4 linked regions of the Notamacropus eugenii genome follow. Each later gene encodes a partner of the first gene's protein in a complex. Links are inferred from orthologs where the notes say so. Each region holds a gene or a part of one and is shown on either strand. Other genes may lie near its edges. The genes, in order: CNOT9, CNOT1, CNOT10 and CNOT8.

Region 1 (7,060 bases):
GCCTCACATGTACTTACCCCCAATGACTGCAAGCTTGTTATGAGGGCCATCCTCATGCCAGGAGAGATGGTAGTATGGTTAGGGATGTTTTCTGAAGAATGCAGATTAATGGCAGTACACCATAATCCTGATAACCCTCAAAATGCTCAAAGATATTATGAGATGTTATTCGGTGGTGGACAGTATAGCACAGATAGGGCACAAATTCAGCACCCTGTGGAATTATATGAGCGGCTTGCACAATGTGTAGAGAGGGCTTATGACAAGTTGCCAGTTAAAGGCAAAAGTAAAACTTCATTGAGTGCCTTAAAGCAAAAACCCAGTGAGCCTTTCGCCGACTTTTGTGCAAGAGTTCAAGATGCTGTGACAAAGATCATGGGGGAAGTAGAAGGGACTGTAGTTGTAATCAAAGATATCTTGAGAAACAGTTGTAATACAGACTGCAAAAAGGCCATGACAGGATTGAAAAAGGATGCTGGGTTGGAAGAGATGTTACAAAGATGTGAGATAGTGGGTAGTGAGGTCTATGCTGCACAAGTTTGAGCCCAGGCATTTCATGATGTAAAAAATAGGCCGACTGAAAAACCAGACAAAAAATGCTTTCAATGTGGCAAGTTGGGACATTTCAAAAAGGATTCCAAAGTAAGGCCGATACAAAGTGGGGGAGCAAGACCCAAGACACCCTGCCCAAAATGTAGAAAACCGGGGCATTGGGCATCAGAATGTCATAATGGCCCACCTCAGCAATATTTAAACACCCTAACGGGCCCCTCCCCAGCCCAGGAACAAAGGGGAGGAATGGGCTTTCTACCGCCCTCTGCCAGCCAATGGCAGGACAATCCCAATGCCAGCACGATGGCACTCCACCAGAGATATCAGGAATTGGCAGGAATACATTCTTTCAAATAGAGGACCTACATAGTGCTGGATATTTTTCTATTAATCCAATGAGTACAGTCATGCTTCCCATACAGGAAAAAATTAAGCTTAAACCAGATAGCATAGGAATATTGTTAGCACCCACAACTCATGAATATACAGGCATGATACCCATAACACATATATTTCCACCTGATATCAAGTTTCAATATATTCCAATGATGAATACTACTAATATGGAGAGTTTATTAGATGCAGGACAAAAAATAGCAGTGTTATTACTATTTCCAAAAATGGCAGATTCGCAAGTATTCTTAACACAGCAAATTACTCTGGAGAGGCCATAACTTACAGTCATTATAGAAGGGAGGAGATGTACAGGCCTCATGGACACTGGGGCTGATTGTACAGTCTTTCCTTTAGAGCAGTGGAATTCTGCATGGCCTGTAGGGCAAACACAAAATTTATATGGTATAGGAGGTGTTCAGGCAGCGGTTGAAGCAAAACGGCCGTTGAGATGGGAATTTGAAGGAAAAACAGGAAAGGTTTGGCCACATGTATTACCAGGACTCCCAGTCATTCTATGGGGTCGAGATCTGTTGTCACAAATAGGCCTTACCATATCTACAATAGAAAATTTTTAGTGGGGCCCCCTGAAATGGCTGCACAACCCATACCTGTTCCACAATTACAATGGATCGATGATGAACCAATTTGGGTTGACCAGTGGGCCTTGACTGATGATAAAATAGCAGCCTTAAAGGAGATTGTCAAAGAACAACTTAGTTTAGGACATATAGAGGAATCTTTCAGTTCTTGGAATTCACCTGTGTTTGCTATTAAAAAGAGATCAGAAAAATGGAGAATGTTAACAGACCTAAGAAAAGTTAATGCATCCATGCTTACTATTGGGTTCATTACAACCAGGACTTCCTTCACCAAATATGATACCAAAAGATTATAAAATATAGGTTATAGACATTAAAGATTGTTTTTACAGTATTCCTATTCATCCTCTGGATCGACAGAGATTTGCTTTCTCCATACCTTCCATCAATTCACAGGAACCCTATATGAGGTATCAATGGAAAGTACTGCCACAAGGTATGAAGAATAGTCCTACATTGTGCCAATGGTATGTGCATAAAGTGCTTCAACTTATGAGAGAGAAATATAAGGAGGCCATAATAATACATTACATGGATGATATTTTGGCAGCACACAGAGATGGTGAACTGCTAGAAAATATGTTACAGGAAGGGATACAAACTCTTAGCAAGCATGGGCTACAGGTAGCACCAGAAAAAATACAGAAGGCTCTACCAATTAATTACTTAGGATATAAGTTATCAGACAGAGAGATTCAAGTTAAGTTTCCAAATTTTGATGTACAAAAGGTCAAAACTCTGAATGATTTCCAAAAACTGATAGGAAAGATTCAGTGGTGCAGGCCAAGGCTTGGTATCTGTACCTCTGCATTAGCACCACTATATGAATTATTGAAAGGCTCTCCTGACCTTAATTCAAGTAGGGATTGGACCCCTGAAGCTCTTACATGTATTAAGAATATTCAAAATACTCTCATACAACAAACTACTCAAAGATGTGATAAGAGAGAGAAAATAAATTTAACTATACTTTTCACTCCAAACTTACCAACTGGGGTTTTACATCAGCAATTAGGAATCCTTGAGTGGATTCATTTACCACAGGTAAAAAACAGAACATGTTCTCCTTATACAAACCTAGTGGCTAAGGTGATTTGGAAAGGCATACAGAGGGCACGAGCTCTTAGTGGTATGGACCCTGCAAGTATTTTTACTTCCTATACCTCTCAACAATTAGAAAAATGTTTTATGGAAGATTCAGATTGGCAAATTATAATTGGACAGGATTATCATCATGGCGGTCCTGTGCCATTTGCTGATCAACTCACTGCATGGCCATGGTCTTGGTCAGACAAGCATTCTGAGTCGCCTGTAGTAGGGATCAGTGTTTTTACAGATGCCACAAAACATCAACGAGCATCTTTATACATACCATCTGAAAAGAGGTTACAAGTGTTTGAGACATCATTTACCTCTACTCAACAAAATGAACTGTTTGCTGTGCTTCAAGCTCTTTTAATTGATGTCCCTATTAATATTATCACAGATAGTAAATATGTATCAGGGTTAATACCCAATTTAGAGACTGCCTATATTCCTACACGTCAGGATTCTATCACACATCTTACTTTAGAAGCACAAAAGGCTATTAGAGGTAGATTTAATAAATTCCATGTTTTACATATTCGATCACATTCTAATTTACCAGGTCCCTTAACTGAAGGCAATGCAATTGCTGATGAAGCCTTGCAAGTTTTTCATGCGGAGTCATCTCCAATATTAGCTCATTCCAAATCTCATTTGTCTGCATGATCTCTTAGACATTTATTTGGCATAACAAAAAGGGAAGCAAGGCAGATTGTAAAGGCGTGCACCCAATGTGCTCCATTTCTTCCACCACCACCTATATACTCAAAAAATCCTATAGGTGACTGCCCAAATGATATTTGGCAGATGGATGTCACTCACTATTCATCATTTGGATGTTCTCAATATATACATGTATGTATAGATACTTTTTCAGGCTTTCTTATGGCAACTGCTCGCTCTGGTGAAGCAGTCAAAGATGTGACAACTCACTTACTAGCATGTTTTGCTAATCATGGAGTGCCAAAATGTTTAAAAACAGATAATGGCCCAGCCTATATATCAGCTGCATTTAAAAAATTCTGCTATGAATTTTCCATCTATCATGTTACTGGCATTCCTTATAACCCTACAGGCCAAGCCATTGTTGAAAGGGCAAATCGTTCCCTCAAGGTTTACTTGCAAAAAACAAAAAGGGGGAATTACACAAGGCCATCAGGCATCTCTCAATTTAGCCTTATACACATTAAATTATTTAAAGTTCAATGATAAGAATCTTTCAGCAGCCATGAAATATGCTATTGCTATAAAAACATCAAGAGGAACTTCACTTCTAGAAAAAACACAAATAGAGAATGAAGGAAAACCGGCAATGTGGCGTGATGCAGAAGGACAATGGCATGGTCCGGGAAAAATAATCATATGGGGAAAGAGTTATGCTTGTATTTCCACAGGAAAAGAGAAAGAACAGTGGGTCCCAGTACGCAGGCTTCGGCTGATAGAAGAAAGAGACAATGGGAAGAAAATCACAGGGCAAGAGACTGAGAGCAGCAAAGCGGAGAAAGAAGCTGGAAGAACAAATAAGGAGTCTTTGTCTTCAAAATGAGGAGGTTGATTCTGTTTCTCTTACTGACTCTTGGGGCTGGAGGACGTCCAACTCCGACCCAGGAGACAAGTGGGAATGCACATCACTGGGCGTTCATCCCGAATCCTCCGTGGGTGAGGGTCATAAGATGGGGTGAAAAGATACCAACACCAGTATTACATGGCAGTTTGTCACACATGTTTGGGGGTGCAGGCTTTGAATTTATAGGTAAATCAAATGGTTCACAGCCAAGAATGAACTTTACTAGATTGATCACAGGATTACCGCTCTGTCTTCAAAAGAAGGTTGATGGACGATGGAATGGCACTGCATGGGTTTTTAATGATATAGCGGCCGATATGACATGGTGTGCAAACATAACTCTGGGACATGAGACTTTGGGTTATCGAGGGGACTCTAGACTCTTTCACCTATGGACTTGGGTCATTGAGGGACAAGATATGGATCTAAAACGAGAAATAAGTTTGAGATATAGACCATATTGTACAAAAATGGATGGGGCACGAGACATGGGACAAAAATGAGAAGTGATTTTTAGATTTGGGCCACAACGTGGAAAGAGGGATGATCCCAATGTCTCCATTTATTGTAATTATTCAGGTTTTGTACCATTTGAAGATTGTCAGTCACATCAATGTCAACAGACTGTGTTATTCTTAGAGCATTATAATAAGAGCCTTATTTCCTGTCACAACCTATCGTATTTTGGGCCAGATCGCTATGTCTCAGGATATCCTAGTCCTAGATATGTTACTAACAAGGGTTCTTATACAGCAGGGATTGAACGGGTGATTGCCACTATTGGGGGACAGACAGTATAAGGTTTTGTAGGACCATTTATAATTGTAGCACCAAATGGTACTATAATTACAAACCGTATTAGTCTTACGGCGCGAGTGTGTTTAGGATCATCTCATGCCTTTATGTGGGATCGTACAAGTCAGTCTACACTCGTGCCACATATGAATATGACAGGGATATTCAATTTAACTTGTCCGAATTGTTCGGTACATGAATGCATAGGGCCACAATTTGATAAAGGAAGGCTTTACATCATTACTAGGCCAAAGTATGCACTCACAGTAGTGAAAACACAAGGATGGTATCGCACTCCGGCTGACAATATTATGTCAGTATTAGATCAAAAGACAGCAAGTTTGATGTGATTCAAAAGATGTATCTCATGTGTAGTGTTAGGTATAACCTTATTAGTTGAGCTAATTGTTAGTTCTACTGCTCTCGCAATGTCTGTCTCTAACACGCAGAATAGTGTCCAAGAAGCGAGTGCTCTTCATGGTCTCATGCGCAATGTCTCAGAAGGATTTCAATGTCAGGCTCAAATGGATAAGGAATTTTACAATGCTGTTCGTGCTTTACAGAAAGCAGTACTGTTCTTGGGACATGAAGTTGCATATCTAGAATTACAAGCAAAGTTACAATGTGATTATAGGTATAATACTTTTTGTCTTACTCCAAAACAATATGATGCAACTGAAATAGCATGGGAAAAGATTCGGGCTCAATTACAAGGTGTAGTCAATGATAATGTGACCTCAGAGCTCCAACAATTGATTCAATTGGCAGAATATATCAGTCAGGCTTCCCATGAAGACCTACTTCCACAAAAAACTGTTCAACATATCTTAGATTTTTTCCAACATGCTGATCCCTGGCACTCACTAAAAACTTGGCTAATTTCATTGGGATCAGGATTACTAACATTGCTTATATTAGTTGCTATTATACCAATATTATTAAAGTGGATATTGTTAACAATTCGTAATTCCCTCTTCTCCACTAAGCATACCGTGCTGGCTATGAAAGAACAACTGTACCAAAACAAAAAGGGGGAGTTGTAACGGGACGAATTAGAGCTGACCCCTGTCCATCGCAGGACTCCACACTGAGAGCCTGCCTAGATAACCTGGGGGCTTGTCAGTAGGGGTGGAACTAGATGGATTTCAGGAGGAAGGGTCTCGTCTTTTTTGGCAACGTGGCAGTTCTTTGTCCAGTTCCGGATGTCCAGTGGAGAAGATACCCATATAAGGAATAATGTTAGGTGATAGGTTCAATGTATAGGCTTAGGAATGTTCACGTAATTAAGACTATATATGCATGTGAACTAGCTGGAATAAACGGAGTTCTCACCACCTTGTCTCCCACCTCATTTCATTATTCACTAGATCAAGGCCTCTTGCTGGACAAGAGCCTTGGGTCGGGGTTTAGGGATTCCCGAAATGGTCTAGGGGACCCCAACAGGAAAGGAATAGATGGGAGTCTAAAAGTATATCTTTTCAAAGTCTATCACTGACTTAATTTTGCTTCAGAGTAAATCAGTTTCACTCTTAAGTCCTATGTTTCCACACCTATAAAATGGTGTCAGTAGCCTACCTCTGGTAGACATAGGTATCAGAAATAGTTTAGAATGTTATAGCTAGATGGCACCTTAGAAATCATTTTTTTCAAACCTCTCATTCTCCCATTTCACAGATGAGGATTCTGAGAAGTGACTTTGCCCAGGTCATACTACTGCTCTAACAGTTATAATTCCCATCAGCCAGTTGACACTTCCCTTCAACTCAAGTATTGAATCACGTGCATCTAAGTTTGTTTCTTATGTACAGCTGGACATTAATGAAACTTCATTTCTGTGTATGCTCTTGCCCTTTAAGCCTGTGCCCACAGCATTGGCCCAAGTGGATAGAGAGAAGATCTATCAGTGGATCAATGAGCTATCCAGTCCGGAGACAAGGGAAAATGCTCTCCTGGAGCTGAGTAAAAAGCGTGAATCTGTTCCTGACCTTGCTCCTATGTTGTGGCACTCTTTTGGTACTATTGCAGCTCTCTTACAGGTAGGTATATATTGGACAGTAGCAATTTA
Region 2 (7,018 bases), on another chromosome or scaffold:
CATCCTTACCAACTTACAAATAATAACTTACTAACCTACAACTAAATTAGTTGTCTGGATGACAGAAAATGTTTAGCTGTGAGGCCTTCCTAAATACATCTGTGCAGATGTAAATGCTGCAAAAAGTAAAAACTGAGAATACATGGGTAAATTTCAGTTAGAAATTCTAACACTAAAAAAACTTTCCTGCAACTTGTTATAGATCCATTTAACATTTTAGGAGTCTTTTAGTAACTATGACAAGCACTGAAAGAACCCAGAAATATTTACTCTAGTTTTAAGCAGTAACTATATTATAGTCATAATAAAACTTCCTCACATTCCTGCTTTTCTTCAATTGCAGCAATTTGCTCAAAAATCCTTAGAAGTCTACTTATAATTACAAGCTTACTTACACAGAACATTGTTCAAAGGTCAAATTCAGTTTATTTGGTTTTACTTTAAAATATGAGGCACACTTGAGACCATGCAAATTTTAAAAAAAAGCGCCTCTATCACTTTTATCCTTAACCTTTGCTTTTTAAAAGTTAACCTCAGATTCAAGATTTAAGCAGAAAGAGCATTACTGGTTTTTCTATCTCCATAGCTGAGATTGATGTCTCAATAGGATGCCATTTTGAAGTTTCCCAGCAAGAACTTCAGACTAGTTTGAGGACTTAGAATAAGGTCAGGAATGCATAGTAAATGAAGAAATTTAGAATGTCAGTACATCAGTCAATACATTTTTTAAGGATTCCTGAAAAATCACATTTTATTCTATTACGATAAAAAATAAACTAAATTCCTGAAGAGGCCATTTTAAAATGGCAGCATACCACTTTTTACTTCCAGAAGTGCAAATATTTTTAAATGCTCAGTTTTGTTTTTAAAAAAAAAGTTGCCTAAAAGCATACTACTGATATTCTACCAAATAAATTTCCCTCTTTTGGAAAGAATGCTACAAATTTCCTGACTTCCTTACAGAATGACACCTTGTCTGAATTCTGGGAGGTCACAAATTTTAGGAAGTATAAAACTAGGCAATAAGATCCACAACTCAGTATCTGGCTTAAAAAAACTGTGATTACCTTAGAGAAAAAGACTATATTTTTAAATTTAGTCAAGGATATTGGGGGGAGGGAGGAAGTTAAGGGGCCACTTCATTTAAATTATATCTTAAATAACAGAAGATTTGGCATTTTCAAGATGCTGAAAAAATTCAAGGTCTTCTATCTGAAGCTGAAAGGTTGGGAGTGAAGACAACAACTTGAGCTACCCCTTGCAGATGGTTCCACCGTGGTGCCTAAAGCTTATTAAACTTCTTCTGAAGAGTCTAGGACCCAAAACGTTGTTGCCAAAAGGCCTGCATGTTCAAGTCAGTTTTACCAAAATGCTTGCGTTAGAGCTGAGATACTCCACAAAGGTCTAAAGCCTCCTGGAGCTGCAAAGAAGTAGTTTCATTCTCTCAGAAAAACAATGTAACAAGTACCAGTCTCCGGAAAGGGGAGCCATTAACAGTAACATTAACCCTCTGCTAAGTCTTTGCAAGATAAATAATTCTCACCCGAATCACAAAAACTGTCAGTTTTAATGTTCTAAGTTTTTGTATCCTCACTCACTGTAACCAAAGTATCCAACGTTTCTCCAGCAGCCTAAGGACGTCTCCGTAAGCAGAGAAAAGGGGCTGTCACTCAGACCCAAGGGGAGAGGGTCCCGGGGGTTCTGAGACTCCCCTTCCCTGGTTCACTTATTACAAGAACGGGGGGGAGCTCCCCAGCAATGGGGTTGAGGCTCCTTTTCCCTCCGATCGATGACAAGCAGTTTTGTTTCCCCTTTCTGCTTTTCCTCCTGTTCCCCGGGCCTGGCACACAGTAGGCGGACCTGACGGCCGGGCCCTCACTAAGCGCTGGCTGCTTTCTCTACTACCAAAGGCGAAGTCCAGGCAGAGACCGGAAGGGCTGGCACACAGCAGGCACTTGGTGCCAGGGGACTTGGCTGCTAAGGAGCAAGGGCTGGGGGCGGCCTCAGGCACTGGCACCCAGTAGGCCCTTTGGGGAGCGCCGTCCCCTCGGAGCCGCGTCCAGGGGAGGCTCCGGCCGCACCGAGGCCTACAAGTGTCCCGCCCGCAGGGGGCGGCACGTGTGAGTGTGTTTGTGTGTGTTTGTGTGAGTGCGCGTCCGCGCGCGCGTGGACGTGGGGACGCGCGGCTGTCGCGGAGAACCAGCTGGGGGCCGCCCTCCTCTCCAGGGGAAGCCGGCCCCACGGGGCCCCCGGCGCTGACAGCGTGCGCGGCGCGGCGGGGCGGCGGCGCGGCCCGGCCCAGGCCTCGGCCCCCCGGCTCTCCAGCCCCGGGGCCTTCCCGCCGGTCCCCGAGCGGGGGAGGAGCGGGCCGGGTCCCGGGCCCTCCCCTCCCCACCCGCCTCCCTCCGCGGCCCGGGAAGAGGCGCCTCCGATGGCCACGGGACGCCCCCCCCCACACCTCGCTCCCCTCCCCCAGCCCGCGTCCGCGTTCCGGAGCTGACGCTGCGGGCGACTCTCCGGGCCCCCCCTACGGCCGGGCTCACCTCAGGCGGCTCCGGGGGCGCTGGACACAGGCAGGCTCCTGGGTCCCGGGCTCTCCCTCTCCTCGTCCCTCCTCCCCCTCCTCTCTCTCTCTCTTTCTCTCTCTCGCTCGCTCTCTCTTCTCTCTCCTCTCTCCTCTCTCCCTCTCGCTCACTCCCTTTCTCTCTCTCTCTCTCTCTCTCTCTCTCTCTCTCTTTCCTCTCTCTCTCTTTCCTCTCTCTCCCTCTCTCTCTTCTTCGGTTAACTCCGCTTGTTTCTCGACAAAATGGCGCCGGAGGTCGCGCGCTCACGTCGCGGCCTTTCCCCTCCCCGTTTCCATTTCACCATTCGCTGCCTGCTCGGGGCGGGAGGTCCTGGAACTGGACCAATCACGATTCCAGACCTGTGACTTCTATCCAATCAGTGATCCGGGACCGCGGATTTAAACCAATCACATGCTATCACTCGAGGAAAGTAAGGAAGAAGCCCGGCTCTTTCTATCAACCACCAATCCAAACTAATCTTTCGCGGGCCTTGGCCAATGGCCGCTCACCGGTCCCTCGGGAGCTGGAGTCAGGCCGCTCGCGCCTGCGCTCGTGAATCGGGCCAATGAGAGTATGTCTATGCTTCGATTTGAGGCTTCTCGAACATCCCGCCTGCTCTCGAGAGCTTTGACCAATAGGATCGCGGCGTTGCATCCCTGAGCAACAATAAATGAAGAGGAAGGGAGCCGAGGGGGACGTGGGGAGAATAAAATGCCCACAGGCGGGAATTTCTTTTGCACCCATAGGATTTTTCTCCCCTCCCTTCTTTCGAGAGTAACACAGCTCAGAGGTCCCCCATTCAAGAGATCAAAGTGACAGTCTGGATTCCCCGCTTTCTCTTCTCTTGAAGTCATGAGGGCCATCCCCACTCCCGAGCTACCCCATTACAAATACCTCCTTTTGACTGCCCCCCATCTCCGGACTACATTTCCCATTATGCAACGCAGCCTCGGGCGAGGGAGGGTGGAGGAACGAACGCTTGCGCGTTGCATTTTGGGATACGTAGTTTCCCCAGAGGTTAAAAGTTGTAGGGGGAGTAGTCTTTGGAGCGAGGCATGCTGGGAGCTGTAGTCCGTTGTGCTTTACACCTGGCCTTTAAAGAGAAAGGTTCCAGGAGGCTGCCCTAGTTTACCTGTCTTCCCCATATCCTGTCTAGGTGGAGTCTCCTCCTTGTAAAGCGACCCCTAAACATCCTCAGAAATACCAACTGAGAGAGCTAGACCTTGCAAATCAGCCAGTCAAAGCCTCTTGTTTTCCAAAAGGGGACCTGTCCAAAGTCACCAGACTGGGAAGGATCCTTTGCCTTTGGGATGCCAAAGCTGGAAAGGACTTCAGAGACACACACACACACACACCCAATCCAAGTCAATTCAACAAGTCCCCTTATTCCACAGAGGAGTAAACGGAGCTTAGGTGACCTGGCCATGGGAGGTAGCCAGAGTTAAGATGTAGACCCCAAATCCAGGGCTCTTTCCTTGACCCTCTTCCAGCTCCTCTGCAAAGCCGGCCTCCAGAGGAGCACTTGTTAGGAGCACTCCCACCTGCCCCAACATCATCCCCAGCAGAGAATGGCTCTGTCCCAGGAGACTCTCCGCCCAGCACCCCACCCCTAACCCCACTCCCAAAGTCCCTTTTGCACAGGCTCCAGGTACAATCTCTTCTTTATCCATCTTCTCTGGGGAAGACTCATGAAAGGTGGCTGTCCACCCAGTCACTCCTCCCATTGTTTTGTTTTAAGCGTTTCTTTTGCTTGGAAACAATAATAATAATAGCAGTTTGTATGGGACTTTGAAATTTACAAAACACTCTACAAATGTAATCTCATCGGATCCTCGCAGCAGCCCTGGGATGTAGGTGCTGTTCTCATCTCCAGGTTACAGTTGAAGAAACTGAGGCAGAAAAGGGGTGAAGTCACCCAGCCAGGAAACATCTGAGGCTGGATTTGAACTCCAGGTCCAGCGTCCTATATGATGAGCCAGAGAGACAAGCATTTCTGAAATAGGGAAGCCGGATTAGCATTCATTGACATTCACTGACAACTCATAGTTCTAGGGTACACCATCATGGCTTCAACAAATGGTTATGACTCCATGATGCTCATCATGGGGCAGAGGCAAGAGTCAGTACTCAGGCACTTATTACACACTTCCTGTGTACTAGGCATTAGCTAAGGGTAGAGGATACAAACAAAGGTAGGAACTCCCTTTTCTATGGAGTTCCCATTCCAATGGGAGAGATCTCATGTAAAGAACCAGAAGACAGATAGTGAGGAGATGGAATGAAATCCCAGAGGAGGAGACACCAGCAGCCTGGAGGGTGGGGGAAAACCTCCTGCAGAGGGTGGGATTTGAGTCATCTGAAAAGAAGAGGCAGAAGCGAGGAGTGAGAGACAGCACAGAGGTCCAGAGAAAGGGGATGGACCGGCTTCTCTAAGGGACAGCAAGAAGCTTACTGGAACTAGCTCGTTGGCTGCATGAAGCCACCAAGAATTATCAGAGCCCCCCAAAAATAACCTTGTTATTTAATCAATTAGTTGTGTCCAACTCTTTGAGACCTCATTTGGGGTTTTCTTGGCAAAGATACTTGAGTGGTTTGCCACGTCCTTCTCCAGAAATTTTACAGATGAGAAAACTGAAGCAAACAGTGTTGTAACTTGCTCAGGATCACATAGCTAGTGTCAGATTGAATTTGAGCCTAGATCCTGACTCCAGGGCCAGTATGCTAGCTACTGTACCACTGCCCCACCCACCCACTGCACTACCTAGCTGCCAGTTTGTAAAGGGTTTTAAATGGCAGAATGTGACACCCAGTCTTCGAAAGCTAGAGCAATGGAACACAAGTTATGGGAAGTTCTACTAAGATGCAAAGGTTTCTAGTTGAGCCCTAGGATGGATAGTAGCTATTGTCCAAGAACCAGCCTAGCTAAGTAGAATAATGCTCATCTCCAGCTAGGTGATAACCAACTAAGTAATGAATTCTTTGACCGTGGTGTATGCATACTATGAGCAAAGCATTGTACTAATTTCCTAAGGGGTGTCTTACCCTACTAATGGACTGTGGACTCCAAGAAAACAGAAACCTGGAATCTCAGCTTTGTATTGCCTAGCTAGCAACTAGCATGGTGTTGTGCACACTGCAGCTGTTCAATAAATATCTGTTGAATGTTGTTTTTATTGCCTGTCCTTTGTTCTAAAAGAGGGCCATGACAGAATGAGTGGATGGATAGATGGATAAACTAAATAGTTGAGAGGATAAGACATATTTGTTTAATAAAGATTTAAGTAACTGAAGAAGAGACTGTGTAGGGGAATGGAACCTAGAAGAATAAGGCAAGGTCCCTGCCCTCAGGGAACACAGAGCTTGGTAGAGCATAGGGAATAATCAGATGTTAGTTTAAATCAGACCCCATACATGGCTTCCAAGTGCCAACAGATGACAAATATTGACCAAAGTTGGATCCCCTTTATAAAAGCAGGAGTATAAATTATAATTTGCTACAACACAAAGAAGGTGAGATAAGTTTCAGGGGGAAAGGGTCTAAACCAAGGGTGGGTAGCCTGTCCCCCCTTAATAAAAGGATTTGTCAAAAGGACCTAGAAGGCTGCAAGTTCCCCACCCCTGGATGCTAAACTATGATGAGATTTCATAAGAAGACAAGAAAACCTAGGAAGTCTTCATAGAGAAGATGGCATTTAAGCTGGCTGGGTGGGTCCTTGAAGAATGGGAAGGATTTTAGCAAGAAGTGATAGAAATGTAGAGGGGAAGAGGGATGGTATTCCATGCATATGGGTGGAAAGACATGAGCAAAGTCTCTGAGGCAGGAGGGAGTGAAATACATTGAAGGCACCCAGCTATGGACACAGGCAACTCTATTACAACAAAAAATGAAACAGACAAAAGAATAATAATATCTGGAACGTATAGAATGCATTAAGGTTGCAAAGCGCTTTACTTACGTTTTCTCATTTGACCCTCATAACAACCCAGAGAGGTAGATGCTATGATTATCCCCATTTTACAGATGAGGAAACTGAGTCACACAGAGGCTAAGTGACTCATTCAGGCTCACACTCACTAAGTGTTTCAGATAGCATTCAAATTCAAATTCCAGACTCCAGATCTTTAGTTCCATTCACTTTGCCCCCTACCTGCTTAATGATAATTTTATGATAGGCATCATAAAAGTGGTGTCCACATCCCTCTTACATCCTATGTGAAAGAAGAACATAATCTGGTATCAGCTTAACTAAAACCCTATACTTTGATTCTAAGTGTCAGTATATAAAAAATATTGACTGAACTTGGATCCCTTCTGTGGAAACTTGAAATTCAAGAAGTTTAAATGCAATCGCTACCTGGATACTAATGACTGATGGTGTATGGGAGATTTAGGTGCAAGCAGCACTGAGCCAGCAATAGGAGGGGAAGCAGGCTGCCTATATTCTTTCTCAAAC
Region 3 (7,684 bases), on another chromosome or scaffold:
GACATATTTTTAGGGAGCTAATATCATCAAACCTAGTTTTAACTTAGTTCTATTTGTGCCCTCTGCTGGTAGAAAGTGCTAATAAACAGGGACATGGAGGGCCTCTCGGAAGATTCACGTAAGAACTTTTTTGGTGGTGAGAGCTCTGTGTGCTCACCTGTCTTCACATGTCAACATTACAGGTGCATGTAGAAGAACAGATATTAGGAAGAAAGGGCAGTGGTTTCTGAATCGAAGGAGCAACTGGGTGGCTTACTAACTATGTGAACCTGGGCAGGTTCTTCTCCCGGGCCTCACTTTCCTCACCTGTACCTAATCTGCTCAGCTGAAGCCATGGGGGCAGGAACCTTCATTCCTCACTGGTCCTGGGGAAGCCTGACTTCCTGGGGGTAGGGGTGGGGAAGCAGGCTCCCCATTCTCACATTTCTTGGCTCATAAGTCCCAACCATGGCTACTGCATGGAAAGGTGTCAATCAAATGAATCGTTTCAGCTCCAAGGTCTAAGAGGTTCCCAATGTGCAAACATGAAGGGATAAGGCAGGTGATTTATTCCTACTCACAAAAAAAGGAAGGTTGAATTTAAAGGAACCAAAGTATGCAGTAGCAAAAAGATTTGAGTAGAATTCACTAATTTAACTTATTTCTAGAAGCATAGTCAGCTTAATATTCAAATACGTTGGCATTGAACAGAGCTTTTTTTTTCTTTTGCCGGAATCTAGTTAGCTACATTACATTTTGTCTGGCATTTATTCCAACCAAACAACCAAGCTCGATTTTCTTTCCCAGTGGGCTCTCTCAGCCCTGCTCTCCACTTCTACTCTGGGGATGGTGCAGCCCTACAAGGAAGACCTTCTGCCCTTTGGAGACTCAGAATGTTCTTGCTTGGCCACCTGGGTACATAAGAAACACATAAGAGGAAGGAAAAGGCAGCCAGGAATCCTGACTAGGGATAAACTAGACTAGTTGAGTTGAAGTGGTGCCCCTCCATACCCATCATTACCCTCACTGGAATCACACACTGTTTATTGAAGGGCAGAGAGAGACTGTCTCTCTTTTTTTAACAGGGCTCCAGTCTGGCAGCCAAGTCGACAGCTGGAAGTCAGCGCCCCTCCCCCAACACTCACGCTGCAGGTGGGGAGGGGTCACATTACATGTGAACCTGGTAAACCTAAGATGACCTGGAACGTTCTGAATTCGAATTCAGTTCTGAATTTGAGGCTTTTATTCCCGTTTCTTTTCTCATGTGGAAACAACCCCAGCAGGGGGCTCCAGCAAGCTACTAAAAAGAAGGCTGCTCAGCATATAAAATGACAGGTGGTACCTGCTATGTAGTCAATGCAGAGGGAAGAATCCTAAGTTTCATAGAATTAAAGCTTTTTAATGCCGAGGGCTGTTTCATTGTGGTTTTTGTATTCCAAGAAAATAGCACAGTGTCCAGCACATAGCAGGAGCTTAATAAATGCTCCTGATCATAAGTTCAGTCATTTTAGTCATGTCCAACTCTTCATGGCCCCTTTGCGGGTTTTCTTAGCAAAGATCCTGGAGTGGTTTGCCATTTCTTTCTCCAGCTTATTTTACAGATGAGAAAACTGAGGCAAACAGGGTTAAGTGACTTGCCCAAGGTCACACAGCTAGGAAGTATCTGAGGCTGGATTTGAACTCAAAATTTGAACTTGGGCCTCGCTGTTATAGTTCCAACAATATAGCACTTTACATTTGTCTACCACATCATAGTAATAATGATCACTGAGGATGCAAAAAAAATTACCCCAAACATTGCAAGGGGAACCTGATAGGAGACCTTTGGAGATCTTTTTTTCTCCGAGACAAAGAGGAGCAGAGTGGAGAAGTAGAGGGCGCCCCAACTTCAGAGTCAAGAAGCCTGGAGGTCGTCACTCCTTTGGGAAGCACACTGACTCCGTGACCCTGGCCAGGCAAGCCCCTTAATTTAACAGTGTCTCGGGTCACTCTGAAGCGGGAGGGTGCTGACCTACATTGAGAAGGGATCTTTCTTCATTACCAAGCCCCCATGTGAGTCAAATCACAAATCTGGTAAGAAAACATCTCCAAGAGGGCAAAGGGTTATCAGGAGGGTAATAATGGTTAAGCATGTCCCAAAGGCTTCAGTTTTCAAAGTGCTGTGGATGTGACTTGAGTATTATTGTTGTCCTTGCTTTAATGATGGGGAAACTGAGATTTGGAGGGACGGAGTGAAGGGCCTACAGTTCTACAGTTAGAACAATGGGTAATATCAGTAGCTTGGCTTATGATGCTGCTTCCATGGGAAAATCCACCTGTGACGTACCATGGAGCTACAAAAATGGAAATTTAAAAACCAACAGAGCACTTACATTCACATGAAGTGGGGGAGTTACCTCAAGAAACTTTACATTTATTTCAGTGTCTTGACATGGCAGAGCTCGGTTGGGGATTGCAAATTCTCAGGCTTTTTCAGTTTGGAGCACAGATTGCCAAAGACAAGCTAGAGCTGATGCCACCAGGGGAAGACTGTCAGTTTCAATCTCAAGTGATTCAACGCCGGCCTCCTCGGCTTCCATGATTCTGGGAGCTTTTATCACAATTCTCACACCACTAATACATGCTATGGAAGGAGCCTGAACATCTTTGTGCTAATGTAATGAGGAAAGAGTCATAATACTAAGTAATGTTTGGATATGGCTTTAAAGTCTGCCAAACACTTCACATCTATTATCTCACCTTCTGCTCTGTGTGGCCTCATGGAAACCAAGAGCATTTGGATTCTGGTTTCTCAGATATGTGACTCTAGACAAGTCACTTCCTTTCTCATCCTCACTTTCCTCTCTTGTAAAGTGGAAGTAATAATACTTGTCACAGGATTGTTGTGAGGATCAGATGAAATCCTGCATGAAAAAATGCTACCGAAAAAGAACTTGTAATGATTAAAGTCTGCAGACCACATTTACGAGTGTACTTACAGATTTAGAGGCAGAAGGGACTATGAGGTCAGCAGGTCCAACTTGTCTCATTTGTCAAGCCCCAGAGATGAAGTGAGGTGTTCAAAATCAAAGCAAGTGACAGATGGGATTCGAACTCAGGACTGCTGAGCCAATGGTTTCTCCACAGTACCAGGCTTATCCACCTTGCAAAGTCTAATACTATATAAAAGACAAATACAGAACCTCAGTTTGCGAGTAACCTAGTTTATGTATGCTTTGCTGGACAAGGAAAAGTTTTTCGCAAAATTTGTCTTGCAGGACGAACAAAAGTTTGCAGTACGGACATCATGTTTGGACTTGAACAGCTCACAAAGGGATGGCGCTCAGCTAATGTGGTTTTGGTTTTTTTTTCCTTTAATCACTTTTTAAAAATACAATTTCAACTCAAAGCAGCTATCTTTATTCCACCGCAGCCCCCCAAAAAACAAGAAGTATCGTAAGATAGAGTCCTAGTCGGAAGCCGATCTAAAGAAAAATCAGTGAAAATTAAACGAAGGCAGTCATGGTAGCCTTACTTTCGGTGAGAGCACCTTAAGAGAGAACACTCCTCTCCTTCCAAGCAGCAGCCCTCCCTCTTCTTCCTCCCTCTCCTCCCTCTCCCAGCAGCCACCACTTCACAAAGGTAGAGGGAAGGTTCATTTACTTTATTGGCAGCGATACTGCGTGCTCATCATGGCTATCGTATTTCAAGCGCATCGGGGACAAAAAACGTACTTAAAATTGTAAATAATTCTGTGTCTAAGCATACTTCTGGGGCCATGGTACCCATCGTCCCACTTTACGGTACTTCGTACAGGAAACGGCGCTTCGCAATAGGGACAGACGGCGTGATGAACGACTGGTCAGCCGAGGGTCCGCCGCCACTGACCTGGCATCACCCCGAGAAGCCGCCGCGGGGCCCCGGCCCCCCTGGGGTCCCAGCTCTAAGGCTCGCTGCTTCTCCTCCTGCGGGCTGATCCTGCCCCCCCAGCTCAGCCCCGGACTTTGGGGTGCGCGTACGCCGGGATGCGAAGCTCTCAGAACAAACACTGATGGTCCCCGCCCCTCCTCAGGCCCTTCTCCAGAAGGATCCCCGGAGGGTCTGCACGTAGGAAGGAGTTTGGGGCGCCCAGGCCCCCCAGGGGTCTCCCGGAGGCGCTGCTTTAGCCCTCGCTCCGTGACCCAGCCAGATGGAAAGGTGGCTGGTAACGTGGACACGGCGAGGCTTCCCCGCCGAGAGGGCGCTCCCGGGGACTCTCCCGGACAGACCCGCGGCCCCCCACCCCACCGGGGTCTGACGTCCCAGGGGACCCCACTGCAGAGACTGGAAGCTCGCCCCAGTCATCCCCATCCACAGTCCGTGGAAGACACGAAAGAGCGCTTCTTAAGTGCCCGCGGGCGCGGGGGACGAGACACAGAGAGTAGGAAAGGCCTCGGCCCTCCGGGAGCGCCCTCTCCGGGCGGGGTAGGCCCCGGGAAGCCGCCAGCGAAGGCGGTCAGTCACCGTCATCAGAACGTTAAGTCCAGCCAAGCTCATCCCGCAGGGGCAGCGCCCAGAGCCACCCCCTCCTCTGTCCGAGGCGGGGCCTGGGGGACGTGGTCACGTGGTCGGGGGAGCCCGCCGTCTCTGACGTAAGCACCACGAGGCGTGGTCTCGCCCGCCGTTCCCACGCTCGCCCCGCCCCTCCCGCGACCTCTCCTCTCGCCCCGCCCCCATCTCCGCCGCGCGCGAAGCACCCGGAAGTCGCGTGTCAGGAAAGGGGGAGGGGCGGCTGCCGGCGGTGGATGGCGGGAGGTCTTCGCACAGGCGCCAACAGAAAAGCAATCATCCCGCTGCGGGAGCGGCCTAGGGCTTGTGGCCGCTGGTCCGCGCTCCCGCCAGGGCCGCGGCGAGGCCCGCGAAGGCTGGCACCGCAGCGAGTCGGCGGTCGCCCCCGCCGGAGTCCCGGCTGCGCCGCTGGCCGGGAGGCGCGTGAAGCGGGCGGGGAAGATGGCAGCGGACAAGGCCGCAGGTGAGGAGGGTTCGGCCCAGCGCTCTGGGGCGCGCGCGGCGGAGGAATATGAGTGTTCTAGCTTCGGTGCGGCGGTGACTGCGCATGCGCGAGGGAAGGACGGGATCCATGCGCGGCGAGGAAGTCGCATGCGCAGCAGTCCCGTCCTCGGGCGCGTCGCGCCCGCCGAGTCCACAGTTCCCCGCTTCTCTTCCCCGCCTGACCGGGGTTCAGCCGCCCCTCGGTGACCCCGCCGAAGGCACCGCCTCCTCTGGGCCTCAGTTCTCTCCTCCGGAGGCCCCTTGCCACTGTGACCTTGGGGGACGGAGGCCTGTGTGGCCTCCTGTCCTGGTCAATGTTGGGGAGGTGGGCGGGTCTCAGACTCCGTTTCCTCTTATGTGAAATGAGGAGGGGGCTCTCAGAAGTCCCAGCGATGCCTTCCCTGCTCGTGGCTTTGGAGCTCGATCCATCCTTCTGAAGGCTGCCTTGGCTAAGCCCCCACTGTGCGCCCGGCCGCCCCACTGGGTGCCGGCCCCCCCCCTTTTGCGCCCGGTCCCCCCACACTGTGTGCCCGGCTCCCTCCACTGGGTGCCCGGCCCCCCCCACTGTGCGCCTGGCCCCCCCACTGTGAGCCCGGCCCCCCCCCTTTTGCGCCCGGTCCCCCCACACTGTGTGCCCGGCTCCCTCCACTGGGTGCCCGGCCCCCCCCACTGGGTGCCGGCCCCCCCACTGTGCGCCCGGCCCCCCCGCACTGTGCGCCCGGCCCCCCCCACTGTGAGCCCGGCCCCCCCCCCTTTTGCGCCCGGTCCCCCCACACTGTGTGCCCAGCGCCGGGGCCCTGCTCTGGGCTAGCCCCATCCCACAGTGCTGTCGACGCTCACCCTACAGCCGTGATCAGAAGGACCTCGGTGGTCCATTGTCAGGAGTAAAGAATGAGATATACCTAGTGAGCGCCCCGCCTGTGCCAAGGCTTCGGAGCCCTGCTCTCCACTCCATCCCTAATTCAGTTCCTCCTGCCTGCCCCTTTTGGAACTGTCACCATCCAGCACCCTTGGCAAGGAAGGCCCTTTCACAGCACTTTGGGGCAGTATTCTGTATTCAAATTGGCCGTGTTGGTTCTTCTGCCCACAAGCATTTAGATGCCTGTTCCGGGCCCTGGGGCTGAGACAGCCTCTTGTTGCCAGGAGCATGCCTTCCTGTGCCTGAGATGACGGAGATGCAGGGTGCAAGCGGATGGTGGTGCCCCAGCTTTTTGCGGATTAGGAGAGGCTTGCGTCCCAAGTCTGGGGGCAGGTGACCTAGAACAGTGTTGTGGGTGAGGATGGATTGCAGGGGGGAAGAGGGAGTAAACATTCAGTGAGGCTGGAAAGATAGGTTGGGATCAGGTTGGGGACTTGGTCTTTGCCCCCACTGGAGTCTGATGGGCGATTGACACGCTCAGAACCGCATTTAAGGAAACTCACTGGGGCATAGGGGTCTCCAGTGACCTGAACTGAGCTGCAGCAATCTAGATTAAGGGGTCCGAACTCGTAGTCTGTGGCTTTTTTTTAAAGCAACTTTTTTGAAGCAGTATACAAATATATAAAAATTCAAATGCTTCTTTTATTATTGTATTTTATTTTTGGTATTTAAAAAAAATTTCTTTTCTGAGATGGGTCCATAGGTTTCACCAGATAGCCAAAGGGGTCCATGACCCAAAAAAGATGACTGGAGTTGAGGTCCTGAACTAAGGTGTTGGCTTCGAAGAGAGAGAATGGCCTACAAATAATGTGGCATTCATGGAAGTGACTGATGGGATACATGAGGTGAGGGGAGGAAGGCATTGAGGCTAATGCTGAATTTGGAAGACTGTTAAAATCAATCCGTCAAGAAGGCTGGTGTAGGGGTATCTGGAAGAGGGAGGGATGCATTGGGGGAGAGGGAGAGACATTGAATGATACCTGGGATGTCCAGTTTGAAATGTCCAGTTGGTAATATTGAATTGAACCTCATTAGGAACGGGGACTGATTTTTAGATCTGAGTTATTTGAGTAGATATGATAACTGAACCCATGTCAGTTGATAAGAAGCCTAGGACAGAACCTTGGGGCACATTCCCAGGTTGTGTGGTGTGAATGGAGAGCCAGCCAAGGAGACTGAGGAGCAGCCAGTGTCCATCCAGGAGGAGCTAATGATTGACAGTATCAGAGGTAGGTTAAGAAGCAGGATTGAAGAAAGATGCACATATTTGGTTATTAAGAGATCCTTGGTAACTAGAGAGAGAGTAGTTTGAGTACAGGCTGTAGAGGGTGAGAGAAGTGGAGATACCCAAAATGGAGCTGGGAAGAGGAACAGATATGTAGGACATTGTAGGTTCTAGTGAACGCATCTGTTTTTAAACAGATGCGTTCACTAGAACCTACAAATCCATCTGTTTTTAAACTTTGGAAGACTTGGGCATATTTGAAGTCAGTTGAAAGGAATCAGTAAAATAGGAAGAGGTTGAAGATTTGAGAAAGATGGAGGTTGTAACCTGCTGGAGGTGACAGGAGGAGAGGGCCAAGAGCATGTGCACATACAGAGCTTTCTCCTGACTCCAGGGAATCCTTGCGTGTGAGTGCTGGACACACGATGAAAAGCATTGCATTGTACTACCAAGCATGCTTTATTAACAGCCATTGAAACAGTGTTGCTGTTCAAGTGATAGAAAAGCATGTGTCTTTGTGGTGATAATGGGTAACCTTGAGTTGTTTCAAA
Region 4 (7,868 bases), on another chromosome or scaffold:
TGGTAGTTGCCCCCTCCCCTTTCTGCTGGCCCCTTTGAAAAGGTTTGTTAGGGAATATTGTAGTAACTCTCATTATCAGCAAACCTTCTGAGAAGACTAGACTAGAGTAAAGGTGATTATTAACCCCTCTGACAGTGTCTGCCATTTTGACTGGATCAAGAGGTTGGAGTCCCAAAACTCCAGTGCCTCCCGTGCATTATTTGTGAAACAGTTTAAGAATGCGAAAGGATGGACTTATAACTCAGATAAACATTACAGAATGCTGAAGCCAGAAAGAATTTGAGGACACAGTTGATCAAAGTGAAACAAAAAGCGACCTTAGAGATGCCCTGATTCAACCACTTCATTTCACAGGGGAGAGAGTTGAGACCCACAGAGTGGAAGTGATCTGGTTTACCCATGGCAACACAGAAAGTTGAAAACCTGGGACTAGAACTCAGGTCTCTTGATCCTTGATGCTCTATTATGTCTATCTTAACACATTGCTTCTAGTTTTATTTAAAGTAGATCCTTTAAAGAAGAGCATTCCTTATAATTGAGTAGTAAAGATACGTACTTAGAAGATGTGCTATTTATGATATTTGTAGTGGAAAGAACTTATGTAGCAGAAGATTTGGATTTGAGTCCCAGATCTGAAACTTAGTAGTTCGCAAATCTCTCTCAGCATCATTTTCCTCATCTATAAAATGAAGGTAATACATTACCTATGCTAAAGATTGCTGTGAGGAAAGCTCTTAGTAAATTTTAAAGTTATTACAGAAACATGAGCTATTAATATATTATATATATATATATATATATATACACATATATATACACACACATATATATACATGTATATATATATAATATTGTGGAATAATATTTTAAGGGTTCCCATCAAAGAGCTATTAGACTCATTTCTCCCAAGGATACATCTAAACCTTGGTAACCTGAGGTCTGTGAACTTATTTTAAAAAATATTTTGATAACTGTATTTAAATATCCTTGTTTCCTTTGTAATTTCATGTATTTAAAAACATTATTCTGAGTAGAGATCCAAGATTTCATTAGACTGTGAAATGGGTCTGTGACATACAAAAGTTAAGAATTTAAGATCTAAATAGTTGTTTTTATGTGTGCATCAAAATGACTGTAACAAAATCTACTGCCTAACTGAAAAGAAAAAAAAAGACACTCCCACACTTACCAAAGAACAAGATATTTGTGAGTTTGTTTTTAATGTATCTAAAAATGTACAAGTAGTTCTGAGTGATGGGGCTGTAATGGAGGACAGTGAATTTTCTGTTTGATTGTCTCCCAAAGAAGGCTGTTAAATTGAGATTGCTGCAGCCAGCAGCCCAAAACAAAATAAAAGTCATAAGAAAGGGCTTGTTCCTCCTTGTAAATAGCCCTTGGCTGGCACAGACTAATTCATCTACTGAATCTTATTAAAGGTGAGCAAAAGATAATGTAACATCTATAGACCTGACTGGGGAAAGGGGAATGTTTCTCTGCCTGACACTCTAAAAGTTAAATTTCTCATTAAAGAAGTCTTTTCTATTATCCCCATAGGGAAAAAAATATGCAGACAATGGTGTGTGTGTGTGTGTGGTGTGTGTGTGAAGATCCTAAGAGCAACTAAGTTGAACATAGCTCCCTGTTGGTAAGAACAGAAATAAGGGCATGATGGCAATATTTTATGGTCAAACTTCTTTGACATTACAATTGTACAGGCTTTTTTTATATTACCACTCATAAGGCAATATGTTCCTAGGCTTTAAGATTAGAAATTGCCATTTGCAGTCTACTTTTCACCACTTGCATACATAATGTGTACATAGACTTATACTTTTATATATGTACAAAAATGTCCATATATATTACATATATGTAGACTCCTTGTGATTTTATATATTTTGCAACTGACATTTTTTGTTATGTGTACTTGATTTATTCAGTTATTAATTGCTGAAATATTGGTTTATGGGGGAAAAATATTTGAAATCAGGACTAACCTGGAAGATCTGAGATGGATGATCACTTTTGTCAGGAGGAACAGATGTAGGACTGAAGGAACTGACGCATTTTGATGGCCCACAGCTCTAAATAAAATACTGATGATCTAGGTCTAGTGCATTGTTCCAACCATTGTGGAGGCTGTTCGGGATCTGCTGTAGGTGCTGTGGTTTGGGACCTGTTCAGAAAGTTCGATTTGGAGACCTTCAGGGGCTTTTTGGGGTGGTCTAAGCTGGAATTTCTATAGAGAACATGCCCAAGAAATAAAAACCAGCCAGTATAAGCACTTTTGGTTCAGTGATTGATTGGTATGGAATTTCTTTGCTCTTCTCTGGATAAGGGTCTGGGGTGGGGTGGATTACAGAGAAAGTAGGTGGTCACAAATAGCTGGCAACATGATTCTTGGACTGATCCCGGAGTTTCACTGATAGGAGGTAGCCCTTTGGGGATGTTTTTCAATGCTCTGCCCAGTCTTCAAGTGAGTTGATTTTATTAAAGCAATGTCAGTGCTGGCACCTGTTCTCCAAACTGAAATTTGAAAATCCTGGTTAAAAACTGCTTAGGGTCTAGAACAGGACTGCACAACATATGGTCAAAGGCCAGTTGCAACCTGCCAAAGGATTTCAGGTGGCCCACAAAAAATGTAGGGAATGTGAAAGATAAAGATGTAACAAGTACTTTGTCCATGTGCCCCACTTAACCTGACTTCCACTAGTCACTACTGTGCCCATTATGTAACTTGGAAAGTGGGTTGCCACTGCATACTCTCTTCTATTTGTCATGAGACCCAGGGTAACCAACCATCATCAGTCTGTCTAGTCTGAGAGAAAGGGAGTCGTACCTTTTCACTATGTTTTCAGTCATTACTGGTGATGGGACAAAATGAGTGCAGCCATGAGCCAATGCAGCTAATGCCTGCTATGCAACGAGCGGCAATAACAAGGCGTTCTTCCCCTCCCTTGCTGTGCAGTCGCCCTGCAAGTTACACAAGTGTCTGGCGCTCTCTCCAAAGTCAGACACTCAGGTCAGTATTTCTTCATATGTGAGCAGTTGTGAAGTTTTGGTTGTAACATTAAAGTTTTTGGGGTGACTTTGTAAAATGGGTGATAAAAAGAAATGGAAGATCGAATCAGAATACAGAATGTTAATGTGGAGTGGGCAAATAGATAGTTTATTTACACAAGACAAAATATTGTGCCTTGTTTTCTGAGAAGTAATTGCTGTTCCAAAGGAATACAGTCTTCCTAGCCATTTTGAATGAAAACATCCTGACTTAAGCAAATTGGACACCAATGGAAAAAAAAATGAAAGCATACAAATTGTTGAAAAATCTCAGCGAGGAACAACAGTTTTTCAAGAAAGTAAACTCAGAAAGTGAAGCGGCTACTAAGGTTAGTTTTCAGATTCTAAAGAAATTGCTGCTGCTAGGAAGTCTTTTACTGAAGGTGACTTCATGAAGAAGTGTTTGCTGACTAGTTTTTGGATTATGTCCCGATTAAAAAAAAGTTTTTGAGAAACAGTTTAATCATTAATTATACCTTTACTTGGAAAATGAGCTGTTAAAAGCCTATTTGTGACCTAATGAAATTCAGCCTGTTTTAATTTTGGCCCTTACACACTGCCAAGTTGTGCAGGTCTGGTCTAGAATTCTAGTGCTTAGAAGGAATGAGGATAGTCTTATGGCCCTAATTGACTTAGAGCTTTGTTTTCTGTCTGAGGGCCCACAGTACGCTGACAAGCGGAGTCAATCCAGAGAAGGATGCCCTGGTTGAGAGACCTGGACCTTAGAACCAAGGCCCAGTCACAGTTACATTGCTATGGTAAATGTGCAGCATCCTGATCAGGGTTAACGGAAGGAGCTGAGGATGTCTGGATAGTAGAAAAGCCTTAAGGGGGCCCATGATGACCATCTTCCATCAGGGGTAAGAGATGAAATGTATTCAGCTACACCCACCCTGGGGAACAGAACTAGGTCCTAGCAAACGCTGGCTCACCCTGACGACGCGCTTCCCGAGCTCTCCACCAGACCAAGGCAGGGGTGAACTGTCCCTGCTCTCCAAGTCTTCACGTAGAGTCAGTCTCCCAAAGTGCACGAGGCTGTTGAGCTCTGAGCTTGGGGGTGGGCTGGAGGAGGGGGCTCTCATCAGAAGGCCCTCTATCCACGTTGTCCGAGTCTGTCACTTTCTTCGATCCAAGAGGAGAAAAAGCCGGGGTGGGGGAATAGCGCCATCTCCGTTGTCAAGGTAACGCTGCTTCTGGGTCTCGGCCCGGTTGGAAAGGTGTTCCCCTCGGCCGGCCCGACTCCTCGCCCCAGAAGCGTTCGCTGGAGAGCCACAGAAACCGCGGGAAGGTAATGGGTTTTCTGCGGTGTTTTTTTTCTAGGTGGGGGGCACCGAACCGAGTCCAGGAATCTGTCTTCCTGTGCAGGGACTAGGACGTTACTGGAAGAGGTGTCCATTCCTTAGCATTGCAACGGCAATAACGGTCATTCAAGGCCAGTAAAGCCAGGCGGGAAAAGGACCACGAGGGGCTCCCGCCGGAGGTGCGAGGCCACGCCCCGCCGCAGCGTAGTGGGCTCAGAGCCACGCCCCTCTCTGTCCTCGAGCCGGACGCCGGCGCTAGGCGGGAAGAGCTTCGTGGGGGTGTGGAGGGGATTATGACGAAATCTCCGGTCCTCGCGGCGCTTCTTCGCTGAAGAGGCGTCGGGCCTTGTCCTCCGCCAGCGTGCTCCAATGCCTACCCCTGCCACCCCACGCCCCGTCTTCTTACTCGCCATAGTTCCAGCGCGCCGGCCTCGTGGCCCTGCGCCTGCGCACACCTCCCTCGGAGAGCACGGGCTCGGCGACCCCGCGAGAGGTCGCTGGGGCGCGCGAGGGGGCGGAGCTGACATGACCGATCAGGCGCGCTCGCGTCCAGCGTGACGCAGAGGGATCTGGGAGGAGGCGAGGTCGGAAGACTGAGCAGGCTAGAGTAGCCGGGTCAGGAAGCGTGGGTGGGTGGTGCATAAGGTCCCGGTGCTATCTCGTTGTTGCGCTCGGTGCTGGGAGCAGATCCGGGGCAAGGGCTGCCGGCGCGAGGAAGGAGGCAGGCCGGGGGCAGCCTCTTCCTCCTACGCCGCCGCCCCCCGGGGAATCTGTCCGCCTGTCTGCGCACCCCTACGTCCGCCCGCTGCGGGCCCTGCAGGCCTAGGTGAGCGGGGCCGGGTCCCCTGCGCCTGAGGAGTCTGGAAGGGAAAGTGTAAAGTTAAAGCCGGAGAGTTGGGGGAGAAGGGAGCATTCATTGTCCGGAGGAGGAACGGGGGATGAAAGTTTGAGGTGTAGACCCTGAGGAAGGAGAGCCGCCTTGTTTACGCCCCTCTCACTCTCCTTAATTGTTACCATTCTCCACCTTTTCTCCATCTACCTGCGGCCAAAGCTGAACCTTGCCGTGGAGAAGCAAGCTGGTTAGGTGCCCATGCCAGCTCTGAGAGGGGCAGGGTTGGGGCTGCCTGGCACGGAAGCGTTGGCAGAAACTTTGTGTACGTGGTGGAGAGAATACCGCGGGCGTCCCAGTAGCCCCTTCTTGTTTAACAAACATATTCAACCGGCGGATCTGTTTCTCCTCCCCCCCCCCCCCGCATTTTTTATTTAACGTCCGTATCTTGGATAGCCTTGTCCATCAGTGGATGATTCCGGAGCTTGTGGATAGTTGTTTGCGTTGTTTAACCAGTGCCCGAACATGACTCATTCCTTTCCTTCTGTAGAAGGCGCGGATGGGCTGCAGTCTGCAGTGATAGGAAAAGGACACCCTGTGGTCTTGGACCCTTTCGTGTACTTATGTACTTAAGCAATGTCTTGATGGATTTATGTTTTCTATTTTTAGGCATAGGAAGCCTTTTGAAGAATGAATTCAGTTTTTAGTAATAGGCTTAGGGTGAGACTTGATCCTTGATGTCTTTGCTTTAAGGAACCTTTTAAAACTCGCATACTACTGCATTTCATAGATGTTGGTGTAGTAAATTATTTTCTTGGGTAAGATGCAGGAAACACTAAATGTAATTAATGACTAGAGATAACATTGAAAACCTCAGAACTTTTTTTCCTGAACTGGAGTTATAAAACAATAAGGGGCTGAGAACCGCAGCTATTCCTTCTTCCCCAATGAGCAGACCCCATTGGACCCCTTTTAAGTAGGTATGTGAGAGAGCCTGGTGATGTGGCTTCAGACGAAATGCTTTCTACTCTTCCATTCTTAAGCTTCCTCCCGGATTTGAGCGTCGAAACAAAGGCATTTTTAGTTGGACTACCTTGTGTTGCCTCTGTCCTTAAGTGACTTGTTCCAGGCTGTTCCAGCTGGCCCAGACAGTAGTTTAACTGTAATCGTTGAAGTGGAGTGATTGTGTATTGTTTCAGTTACTCTGGAGAAATAAGGCAGTGGATTAGTTTCTGCAAACGTGAAACTTTAACCTTAACATAGTCCTAATACAGAGCTGGATGATTGTGATGGTAAACTCTGTATAAACTTCAGCTGTTATCAATTATTATCCTCAAACAGTTCTGTAAAATCAGGGCAGATTTTGCTACTTTATTTTTATAGTTTAGGAAATTTAAGTCTGAGAGATTGTTGATTTGCCCGAAGTTATACAGATGGTATGTAGCAAAGCTAGAATTCTAACCCAGGTCCCATCTCCAAATCCAGTGTTCTTTCGATTATGCCATAAACTACTTGTTTCATCACGAGCACTAGTTAGAATCTGAACCTCTGTGTTAATTGACCTTGATTCTAGCAATTTGGTGCATCTCTCAGCAAATCAGACTGACTCTTTTTATCTCGCTTCATTTGTTCATTCAAGCTGTCTTTATTGAGTTCATGTTTTGGTGTGGGTACTGTGTAGTACTAGTGGTATTGGCGGAGCGGCTTTACGCTAAAGGAAGTAGAAATATCACCACCCCTAAGTAAGAGTATAACTAAATGGGAAGTCAGCACCTGACCAGGGAATGATTTAAGAGTTCCTTAAGAACATACAAGTATAAGATATTGGATAGCCTGTGCATGTAAGTGTTAGAAGGTTTTGTGTGGGAAAGGGAAGGGGCTAGCTAATTAGAGTCCACTGGGGTTAATCCTTGTATTCTTGAAGATTAATCTTGAACATCCATCTGTGGTGCTTCACAATGCAAACTTTTATTCTGATTCAAATCTCTACTGGAACACCTATCTAATTTAAATTTATAGAGTAAAAAAATCTTCCTGGACTTATTTTGGGTTAGTACTAATATAAATTTGGATGTTACTAGGCTAGGGACTTTGCCTATACACTGAAAGTTCTTTATAATGCTGCACTTGGATATGTGTATAAATCAGCTTTACAATAAAATATTTTTAGTACTTCTAATAATTGAATTCTATTGTGGACCTACTTTCAGATGACTATTGCAGTATAGTGATTGCAATATGGTGAATAGTGTTAGGTGAGATAATTTTTTTTAAGTTTTACTTATGTGTTTTTACATTATAAATATTTACAGATTATCCCACTCTATTAGCTATCTCTTGTAACAAAATAAAAGTAAATTAAATAAATAGTGACCTCACCTTAAAATAAATAAATAATAAAATACGTCGGAAATTGTATCATCCCCCCATATTTTTAAGTTGTTTTTCAGTGACAAGAAATCTATCTTCTCTTCCTCCTATTCCCCCACCCCACTGGAAAAAATAAAAATTTCTTTTAATCATATGATCAAACAAAATAAATTCCCTCATCTCCATACTATATATGTGTGTGTATGTATGTGTGTGTATGTATACACACACACACACACATATATATGTATACACATATAAAGAGATATACGTATAGAGACAAACTCAATTTTTTGTACTCTAAACCC

What was found.
Region 2: the proteins of CNOT9 (region 1) and CNOT1 are in contact, whole or in part, in a crystal structure (PDB 4CRU), measured with the Homo sapiens proteins. The link is inferred for Notamacropus eugenii from reciprocal best matches to the Homo sapiens genes CNOT9 and CNOT1. Residues at the interface, in NP_005435.1 of Homo sapiens: Arg19, Glu20, Tyr23, Ile26, Asn27, Ser30, Ser31, Pro32, Arg35, Pro54, Met55, Trp57, His58, Ser59, Phe60, Gly61, Ile63, Ala64, Ala65, Leu67, Gln68, Val71, Asn72, Tyr74, Pro75, Ser76, Ile77, Asn78, Pro79, Thr81; in NP_057368.3 of Homo sapiens: Ile1415, Ala1416, Thr1418, Thr1419, Gln1422, Ile1423, Lys1426, Asp1427, Phe1428, Met1444, Asn1447, Leu1448, Gly1451, Met1452, Met1454, Ile1455, Arg1458, Glu1459, Tyr1548, Gln1549, Arg1552, Met1553, Pro1554, Gln1556, Ile1557, Leu1559, Val1564, Lys1567, Gln1568, Leu1569.
Region 3: CNOT9 (region 1) and CNOT10 share a complex: the UniProt entries of both Homo sapiens proteins name them as parts of the CCR4-NOT complex. The link is inferred for Notamacropus eugenii from reciprocal best matches to the Homo sapiens genes CNOT9 and CNOT10.
Region 4: CNOT9 (region 1) and CNOT8 share a complex: the UniProt entries of both Homo sapiens proteins name them as parts of the CCR4-NOT complex. The link is inferred for Notamacropus eugenii from reciprocal best matches to the Homo sapiens genes CNOT9 and CNOT8.

Annotation. Positions count from the first base shown.
Region 1 is NC_092877.1:317,094,526-317,101,585, forward strand, and holds the start of CNOT9 (CCR4-NOT transcription complex subunit 9), read left to right. Parts: upstream 1-4,042; 5' UTR 4,043-4,175; coding exon 4,176-4,292; intron 4,293-6,851; coding exon 6,852-7,031; intron 7,032-7,060. UniProt on the Homo sapiens protein: Component of the CCR4-NOT complex which is one of the major cellular mRNA deadenylases and is linked to various cellular processes including bulk mRNA degradation, miRNA-mediated repression, translational repression during translational initiation and general transcription regulation.
Region 2 is NC_092872.1:715,395,939-715,402,956, reverse strand, and holds the start of CNOT1 (CCR4-NOT transcription complex subunit 1), read right to left. Parts: upstream 3,007-7,018; 5' UTR 2,544-3,006; intron 1-2,543.
Region 3 is NC_092874.1:22,783,879-22,791,562, reverse strand, and holds the start of CNOT10 (CCR4-NOT transcription complex subunit 10), read left to right. Parts: upstream 1-4,680; 5' UTR 4,681-4,742; coding exon 4,743-4,969; intron 4,970-7,684. UniProt on the Homo sapiens protein: Component of the CCR4-NOT complex which is one of the major cellular mRNA deadenylases and is linked to various cellular processes including bulk mRNA degradation, miRNA-mediated repression, translational repression during translational initiation and general transcription regulation.
Region 4 is NC_092872.1:383,230,868-383,238,735, forward strand, and holds the start of CNOT8 (CCR4-NOT transcription complex subunit 8), read left to right. Parts: upstream 1-4,856; 5' UTR 4,857-4,945; exon of another isoform or gene 4,946-5,187; intron 5,188-7,868. Other genes in the region: FAXDC2 (fatty acid hydroxylase domain-containing protein 2), read right to left, coding at 3,993-4,142. UniProt on the Homo sapiens protein: Has 3'-5' poly(A) exoribonuclease activity for synthetic poly(A) RNA substrate. Its function seems to be partially redundant with that of CNOT7.